Drosophila melanogaster: one gene and its partner. The protein of the gene in region 2 interacts with the protein of the main gene of each other region in a pairwise test. Each region holds a gene or a part of one and is shown on either strand. Other genes may lie near its edges.

The links.
Region 1: the proteins of CG12237 (region 2) and lobo interact in a two-hybrid assay, tested with the Drosophila melanogaster proteins (one large-scale study listed by BioGRID).

The regions. Positions count from the first base shown.
Region 1 is NT_033777.3:25,190,734-25,195,620, forward strand, and holds the start of lobo (lost boys), read right to left. Parts: upstream 3,044-4,887; 5' UTR 2,922-3,043; coding exon 2,505-2,921; intron 2,434-2,504; coding exon 2,305-2,433; intron 2,074-2,304; exon of another isoform or gene 1,552-2,073; coding exon of another isoform or gene 1-1,551. Other genes in the region: dan (distal antenna), read left to right, coding at 1-1,242; CG13653 (uncharacterized protein), read left to right, coding at 4,827-4,887. UniProt on the Drosophila melanogaster protein: Key component of the nexin-dynein regulatory complex (N-DRC), essential for N-DRC integrity. Involved in the regulation of flagellar motility. Involved in sperm motility. Required for the sperm to enter in the coiled storage seminal receptacle (SR) tubule.
Region 2 is NC_004354.4:19,640,648-19,644,525, reverse strand, and holds CG12237 (uncharacterized protein), read left to right. Parts: upstream 1-1,656; 5' UTR 1,657-1,828; coding exon 1,829-2,749; 3' UTR 2,750-3,335; downstream 3,336-3,878. Other genes in the region: Sec61gamma (Sec61 gamma subunit), read right to left, coding at 433-639.

The DNA.
Region 1 (4,887 bases), on a different chromosome or scaffold from region 2:
GTAAAGAACTGGGCCAAACAGAAGCCGGGGGAGGGCCAGGGCAGCCTCAATCTGAGCATCAAGAACGAGGGCAAGGGAGGCGATATCAAGAGTCCCAGTCCTTCGATTGCTCCTTCGCAAATGGGCGGGCCCATGACGCTCTCCAATCTGGCCGAAGATCCCTTGCTCTACTGGCTCAAGTCGCAGCAGACCATGTTGGGTCTGAATCCCCTTTATCCGCCCACAATTCCCATGGGCGTGACCAGTCCCCCTATCAGATCTTCCACGCCGCAGCACATGAGTCAGTTGGCACAGACTCCGCCGATACCCTCGGCTCCGCTAACACCCTCGTCCACACCGTCGGGCAGTCTGGACGAGAAGAACGCGGCGTGGTACAACTGGTGCAAGGCGTTCGGTGCCAGTCTGCATACCCTGAATCCCAATGCCGCCACCTTGGCCGCCCTGCAAGCCAACCAACTGCAGCAGCAGGTGGCCACCACGGCCGCAGAGGGGGGATCCATGGGAGATCCCTCGAACATACTGTACTCCCATCTCACGAAAGAGACTGAGACGCCGTCGGTGAGAAGTTTGTCCTCCAACGAACAGAATCCCGAGGCTGACGAGGCCACCGAAACCGATCTCGATGGCGAAGTGGAGCCGGAGGCATCCGGGAAACCGGAGGATCTCTCAGCCGCCGGCAAAGTGATGACCCCTTCGCAAAGTCCCATTGCCCATTCATCAGGCAGCAGGAGTCCCGAACCAAAGGCGAAGACCAAAACCCCAGAGACCACGAATTCCACAAGCGAATGCAAGAAGATCCTAGACAATATGCTCTTCAAGATGGGCGGAATGGAGGCCACTGGTCCGTTGATGCCGGAACAGGGATCCTCCGAATCGGAGGGCAGCTTCCAGGACACCAGCAATCCGCATACGAACAACAACGATGTGAGCGCCAGCAATAACAATAACAATAATAACTCAAACAAAACGGACGAGGAGGAGAAGGCCAAGTATCTGGACTGCACGGCGGACGAGGATATCGAGGCCATCCGCCATGGCGAAAAGTTCCTGCAGTGGCTGGAGAATTGCAGCAATCCCCGCGTGACGGCCGTGCAGCTGATGCAACTTCGTTTCCTAATAGCCGCCATCAAGTCGGGCAACGAGACACCGATGATCGAGAAATCCGCTTTGCCGGAGGACAGCGAGGAGCACGCCGCGGAGGAGGAGGGCAGTGGGCGGGGCAAGAGTCGCCGTCGCAAATAGGAAAAGCCAAAGTTGGCGCCCACGGAGCCAGCCACGGATACAGAGATAGAGGATAGCCCAGACGGTGCTCTGCACGATGCAGAGCCAGGACCCGGTGTCCTGGCTACAGATGCAAATGCAGATACCGCCGAGGGCTCGACGAGGTGCCATGTCTATGCGCCGGCCGTCTACCGATCGTCGGCCACCCTACTCAGCTCCCTGTTCTTCCCTCCCTACGAATTTGTACATTGTGACCTCGACGATGACCCCGACGACTGCCAGATCACGGGCGAGTACCAGCAGTACGACGAACTGAGCTCCAGCAGTTAGACCACATGGTTCCACGCATCCGGAGGACTCCACTGAATTTATCTCCTAGCTGTGAAACCTATCGAGCATACTTTCAGTATCTTTCAATTCAATTCGAATCCACTCCATTGCATTGCATTGCATTGTATTAATTAATTAATCGTACGGTTAACGTGTATATATCGAGAAACTCTATTTGTAGCTATTATGCATTTCTTTTTGAACGGAAAGACAACCGACTCTGTTTTGTTAGTTTGTTTTTTCACCCAATGATGCATTCTAGAAAAATGTTATAGCCCTTAGTTTTTGTTACGAAAAAGAAAAAATACTTTTCGAACTGCAAGGTGTGTTGGCGCGAATGGCATGCATTTGATATCAAACGTTTTTAAATTTCGTATATTAATAACTATGGAAATGTGCTCAAAAGAATTTTCTTAATTCGGAATTAATGCGATATTTAAATAAAAACATTTACAAATTTAAATGTAATTTTAAATACATGTTCAATAAAAAATAATTAGATAATTTTTATGAAACTCTTAGAACTGTCGTCGTATTTACTTACCGCTGTCGTATTGGAGGGTCTAAGTGGTTTTTCATATATATCTACTAAAATACCTAAATGTTTTACTTTTATATTTACAAGTATAAATTGCCTTGGTCAAGTTATTGAACATTTTAGAACGCATAAACTTTTAAATATATTGCTACATGAGCTCGGAACATAAGAATAATGGATATGTGATTGGTTCAACTTTGCCATAATAGACTTACCAAATTTATGGGATCCTGCAGTGGCTCATACTGAATGAAATCGGCGACAAACTTGGCAATTTCCTCGACACTTGATATGAGTTGCGTGTAAATAAACGCCGTTGGCCTGATGGTGGTGCAAACGAATTTCTGTAAGTTGGTTAAGAGTGGCAATTTATCAAAACGCTGGCCACTAAAGGAGCAGATGGTGCTGACTTCACCTGTACTTTGCATTCGTTGGGCAGGGCCAAGACCATGGCTCGTCTCTTTGGGTAGCTGAGAACCAATTGCTTCCGGAAATTCTCAGCGTACAGCAGGAGCAACCGCTCCTTGGGCGAGAGGGTATAGTACGATGGAGGATAGCACTGGGGACTGTTTTCGAACTCCTCGACTGTTTCGGGAAAGGATAAATCGATCTTTCCGATATTGAGCGATGGTTCTCCTTCGGATAAACTAAATTCACTAGATCCCATTTCCTCCATTTCCGCCTCGAACTCGCCCTCCATTTCATCTGCAAAATCCGATTCCGAACCTTGCGAGCGCCTCTGCTCGTCGATTTCCTTGAACTTGGCGCTATAGCGACTCGGGTCGATGTTGCTCACCACCTTCTTGTACTTCTGAAACAGTACTTTCGGCATTTTGGCGTGGTTACAATTGCCGGCTCTTTAAAATAATAAACAAGAAACTTCGTTTCTATAACTACGGTGTTTGTAGAAAAATATATATTTTAACGGCTAGATGTGACAGAAATTGAAATATGTATTGTGTTGTGCTAGTCTGTTCATTGTAGCAAATAAAATATATAAAAATTGTAATTTGCTTAAAAAACTTTCGTAATTCTAATTAGTTTTGTGTGGGTTTCGCTTGAAATAACTTCTTATAAGAACGAACATTTCCTTCTTCCGGTTGAAAACTTTACTTTACATTACTTTACTTCCTGATTCTGGTTTGCGTCTGGGCTAAATAACCGTTGTACTGGTTTGTAACTGCTTTGGCATTAGATTTGAACTTCTTTACCCTGCTTCGTATATCAATTTCTACTGCTTTTTTCTCGGTTAAGTGTCTACATGTAAAATTGAAGTAGGGTAACAATTTTACCCAAAAGTCTTTTTGTAACGAACATTTTTAAAATAGAGCAAGCAGGTTGTGAATAGCATATGGCCATCACCTTTTAGCAAAAGAATAGTAGTAAGCTTCATGTCATGAAGAGAATAACTTTAAAATTGACATTAGTATTTTTAAAATAGTAGGTAAGCCCTTGAACGATTGATTACCTACTGCTTTTTAGCCTTGAATATTAAGGCATAGCTATATTTTAAGAAAATAAAAAACTATTTAATTTCCATTCATTTCGCTAGTCATTTTCAATTAGCTATTTTTTCAATAGCTATTTTCTATAAAATTTGATGGAATGTATCAAAGTTATATTTGTATTATAGCACAGAAGGCACAAAACTTCCCTACTTATAAATATTTGGTAAATTGTATGACAAGTCACATATTTTAAATGTGAAAAATTGATATAATATATAGAACTACTTCTTCACCTTGTGCATTTTTTGTTGATTTAATTTAAATAAAGCTAATTCCACATTCAACCTAATCTTTTCCCTGGTTACCTACATACATACATATGTATATTTCGACTAACTTTATTTATTGTCATTATGCATATTACATAATTACCCGTCGAAAACTCAATGCTGGTCTTCCGCAGCTGCAGTGGCAGCGACAGTGGCAATGGCTTACTTAGATGGCACATTTTTTAGGGACCACCCCCTTGTCTGCATGCACCACAAATTGCATTTGCATTATTTATATTGCATCAATAAAACCCGCATTCAGGAATAATTAGCGAGCGCAGAACTTGTCGATGAGCAGGAGCGGAGACCAGCGGATTGAGATCGGCGCAGTTGATCCGTTTATGGCTGGCGCTAGGATTTATTTGTACTTCCTTTCGCATTTGAAAGGCGAGCGTCTACCTGGTGAGCCTGGTGAGAGCGGTACATTCATGAAACCATTTGGCGCTTTTAAGCGACTCAATTACGCACTTTGATTCCCACATTGGCCGCTAGTAGTCGCCTGTCGTTGGGTGTCGCCTTGCTCTGCCTCGTCCAGCTTGGTCCTGTGGCAAGGACTGAGGACTGGACGCGGTCTACCTGGCCGCCGTCTGAGGCAAGATGCGTAAGCACTAATTTTTGTGTGCGCTCAGTTTGCCGTTTAATTGCCGCGGCTCGCGCTAAGTGTTCCCTAGAAAAACAAAGGCAGGCGCTGCGCGTCGGAGGTTCAATCAAGCACATGTCGTCCTGGGCTGACTCCTTGGCCAAAAGTGGTCCTTGCGCAGGCGCCCCGGATGTCTCGAGTGTCAAGCGCCTTTGCAGCCATTGTCTGATTATCGCAGCCACGCAACGCTGATGTGCGGTTATGTCAATTAACGCGGATGCGGATCAGTCCGAAAGGATCGAGGTATATAAGGGTAGCTACGCAGGAGCACAGGACATCACATTCGCCACAACCACCGAACGAAGCACATCGATCTGAAGATGCAGTTGGGAAAAGCTATCATTCTGATTTTGCTGGCGGCCATCCAGCAAAGCTGCCTGG
Region 2 (3,878 bases):
ATTGCTTGTACGTTTTCTGGACATTTATTCTTGGTTCTAATGATGATGTCGGTTTATCAGCTTCATTTACAACTTTACTTTCTTCAAGCAATGTAACGTTGCGTCTCTCAGAGTTAAAAGAATCTCATTTGTACACGGAAAATCAATTTAACATTTATTAGCGGGGATGCGCACCCCAAACAAATGCTATGAAGACGGGTGATTCCTTTTTACATTTGAATCTTATTAACTAACTTGTTCATGAATGGAATATCGAAACATTACAATACGTTTTCGTACGTTTGTGTAGAATTTTGTTAGAAAGGCATTCGCTGAATGCACATGGTCCATACATATAATGCATGTTAACTAAACGAAAAAAAAAGACGTTGATCTGATGTATGCTATAATGGATGATTGGATGATTGGTGGTTTCCTTGCCACTCAGCGCATTTAAGAGCCCACGATGATATTGTTGATGGGGATGTGTATCAACTTAACGAAGAAGCCGATGAAGCCCATGATGCAGAAGCCCACAGCAGTGGCGATGGCGATCTTCTGGAACTCCTTGCGGTCGGGCTTGGTGCACCGCTTGACCAGGCGGATCGAGTCCTTGGCGAAGGCGCGTCCAGGCTCGGCAAACTTAACAACCTTGTCCATGTCTTGTCAGATATTTGGGATTCTGCAACGAAAGCGAAGGAAAGTGCTAATCAGTAAAAGGTATTCAGCGCTTTCACAGCAACGTCAGCTGCGACGTGGCAAATGGTTGGCGACGGCACAGGTGAAATCGCGTTGCCCATTTCCACAAATTCGCCCAACAAGTTATCCAGCTATCACAGCTCCAACAGGGGTCAGTGGCTGAAGATCACCATTAATGTCTGTGCCACCACCAACCCAATCGCTTCGATTCACCAAATCAGCAGGATTTGGTAAAGAAACGGGAAAAAGTGCAAGGTCCACAGGCAAAGAACGGCGCGCAGGGCAAATAAACCTCTGCTGCGTGTGCTTGATAGCCATTCAAACCATTTTAATTGAAAAACTGTGCGAGCGCAGCTGAAAATCAAATAAGCAAACACACATACCTCCGCTTTAATTCAGAATTTCCAACTAAATGAGATACAATCGTCGACTGCCGCGTAGACCCCGTTATTCGTATGTGTTTGCCGATGACAGCTCCACGTCGGCTGTCAAACGCCAGGGCTACGCTACACTGGGGCCGAGCTGTCAGTGGTGGCAGGGATGCCAGCTTGGCTATTTTGCAGCTGGATGCTATGAAAGCTTTGGAATGCTCCAAACGTTAGCTAATTTGTAGCCTAATTTTATTATATTCAAAGTTGAATTTTTGTTCACATTCCTTAACTATTTTTACTCGTTGGGGAGTAACCATATTATATCGTTAACTAGTTGAAAAAATGTGAGTTCACAATGCTTTAATGCTTCACACCAATCTTTACATAAGTAAGGTAACTGGATGAATTTCAAACAAAGAACTACAGATTTAATCGAACTAATAGAGCGCGTTATATTATTTCATTTTTAATCAAATATAATATTTACAACAACATATTATATTAACAACATTATATTTATATTGAAGCAAAACCTAATTCCAATTAGAAATAGAGATAATAATAAGAACAAGACAGGACTTGCACTATTGCATTTTTGTGGTATATAATCGGTATTTTGCACATCCAAGCGCACGCACAACGGTGTTTGCGCCCAGGCGACCTGGCATTTAGCATCGTGGGCGGCGCGGACACACTGGTCCTCGCACAAAACTCGCACTCGAACTTGCTCTCCGCGCGCTCTGAGCGCATCCATAGCCGGAGCAGGAGCGGAGCACACGATGTCCTCGAACCAGGAGCAGTCACCCGCCGCAGTGGCCGCGGCCGTGGCCAGCTGCAGGCTAAGGAAACAGCAGCGCCGTCGACTGGCGGCCTTCGACTTCGACCACACGATCGTTTCCCAGAACACGGACACCGTGGTGCGCGACCTGCTGCCCACGGAGGTGACGAGCGCCAAGGTCAACGAGCTGGTTGAAAACGACTGCTGGACGGAGTACATGGCCGAGGTGTTTCGCTTGCTGCACGAGCAACAGGTGTCGGAGGCGCGCATTAGGGACACCATTCGTGGCATACCCGAGGTGCCCGGATTCGTGCGCCTGATCAAGCATCTGGCCAAGCGGCTGCACTACGACCTGATCATCATCAGTGACTCGAACAGCGTCTTTATCGACGAGTGGCTGCGGGCACATAACTTGGCCGATTGCTTTGTGGCCATCTTTACCAATCCGGCGGAATTCGATGCCTCCGGACGGCTTATGGTCCGCGCCCACCACCAGCAGTCGGATTGCAAGCTGAGCGCCAGCAATTTGTGCAAGGGCCGCGTGCTGGAGCACTTTGTCATCGAGCAGGACCTGCGGCGCAGCATACGCTATGACCACGTCTTCTATGTGGGCGACGGCAACAACGACATCTGCCCCGTGCTGCGGCAGCGGGCGTGCGACTTTGCCTGCGCCCGCAAGGGGTTCGCAATGGAGAAGCACCTGCTCCGCAATCGCAGCAAATTGAAGCTGCGCGCCCAGCTGCTGATCTGGAAGAGCGGCTTCGATCTGATGGACCAGATGCTGGCCCTGCCGCAGCTGAAGACCCCCCAGGTGCAGGGCGATGGGGATCAGCCGGATCAGGATGCGGATACGGATGGCAAAGTACCGGAGGTGGCACGTCGGGCATCGGCAGTTGCCGGGCCGACCAAGTCGCCCAACTAAGGTGGCATGTGCTCGCATTTGGCACCGGCACGAGTAAGTAGAACGGGTAATCCTCGAGAGTGACGATTGCCCAGCTGCAGGATGGCCATCGCATAGGAAACTGCTACTTTGGAGCACGATATGGTATTTCATGGTATCGAAAGATACCGTTCCTTGTTCCTTGTTTTGGACTATGCTGTGCGATAGCAATCATGCGGTTCTACGATGCCAGGAGTACTCGTGAGGGTCTCAAATGCGAAACCATCCATCCCGATCCCATCATCCCCATCCAGTTGTTGGTTGCATCATGTGGTCTGGTCTGGTTCTTTATTTGATCCGCTCGCCACTTCGCTGCACTGGCCGTGCCAAGTGTACTGGGTGGATCTGTATTTATATCTGTGTGCCGGGACTTTACCTGCAAAACAATTTGTGGAAATCCAAACAGTACAACTTCGGAGGTGTGCCCAGGACTTGAGGCGTCAATTTGTGCTGCGGCTGTTAGTGTTTATTCCATGTGTCTATATTTAAACCTGTTGTAATTGAAGCTATTGCAAGCGCTGTATATGAGTGTCCATATTATATGCATTTGAATGTGTGTTTTGCCGTTACTGCACCCGCTGCACTACCTTTTTTTCCTGGGTTGGGCTGGGCTGGTCTGGAGCACTGGGTGCTCTTGGTGCACACCACGCGACCTAGAGCGGGACAGCAGCATGCCAGCTGCGTGGCCAGGAGCGGGACGGGGATAGCAGCAGATGCGCTTTCTGCGCAATTTTCTCGACTTTTGTTTACACACCTCGCAGGATGAGCCATTTGCATTCAGTAGAGTGATTGATTGTGATGGTCAGAACTTACATATGTATATAGAACCTATAAGATTCGTTCGGGGACACCCCCTACTATCAAATATACACAGCAAATAGCAAATATAGCAAATCCGGACAGTAGCCCAAAAGTATGCAGCGAAAAGATGATTATGAACTTTTGCGGGATTGTTAATATCCTCTGTTAGAATATTGATATTAAAAAAAAAAACAAACACGCATAAATATTTATATCGTATCGTCTGCTCGAGGTTCTTTATTGGGTGTCAGTGACAATCTTAGTATTAACATTAATTTATTTGTAATTTATGTAGGTATATTACAGCTCC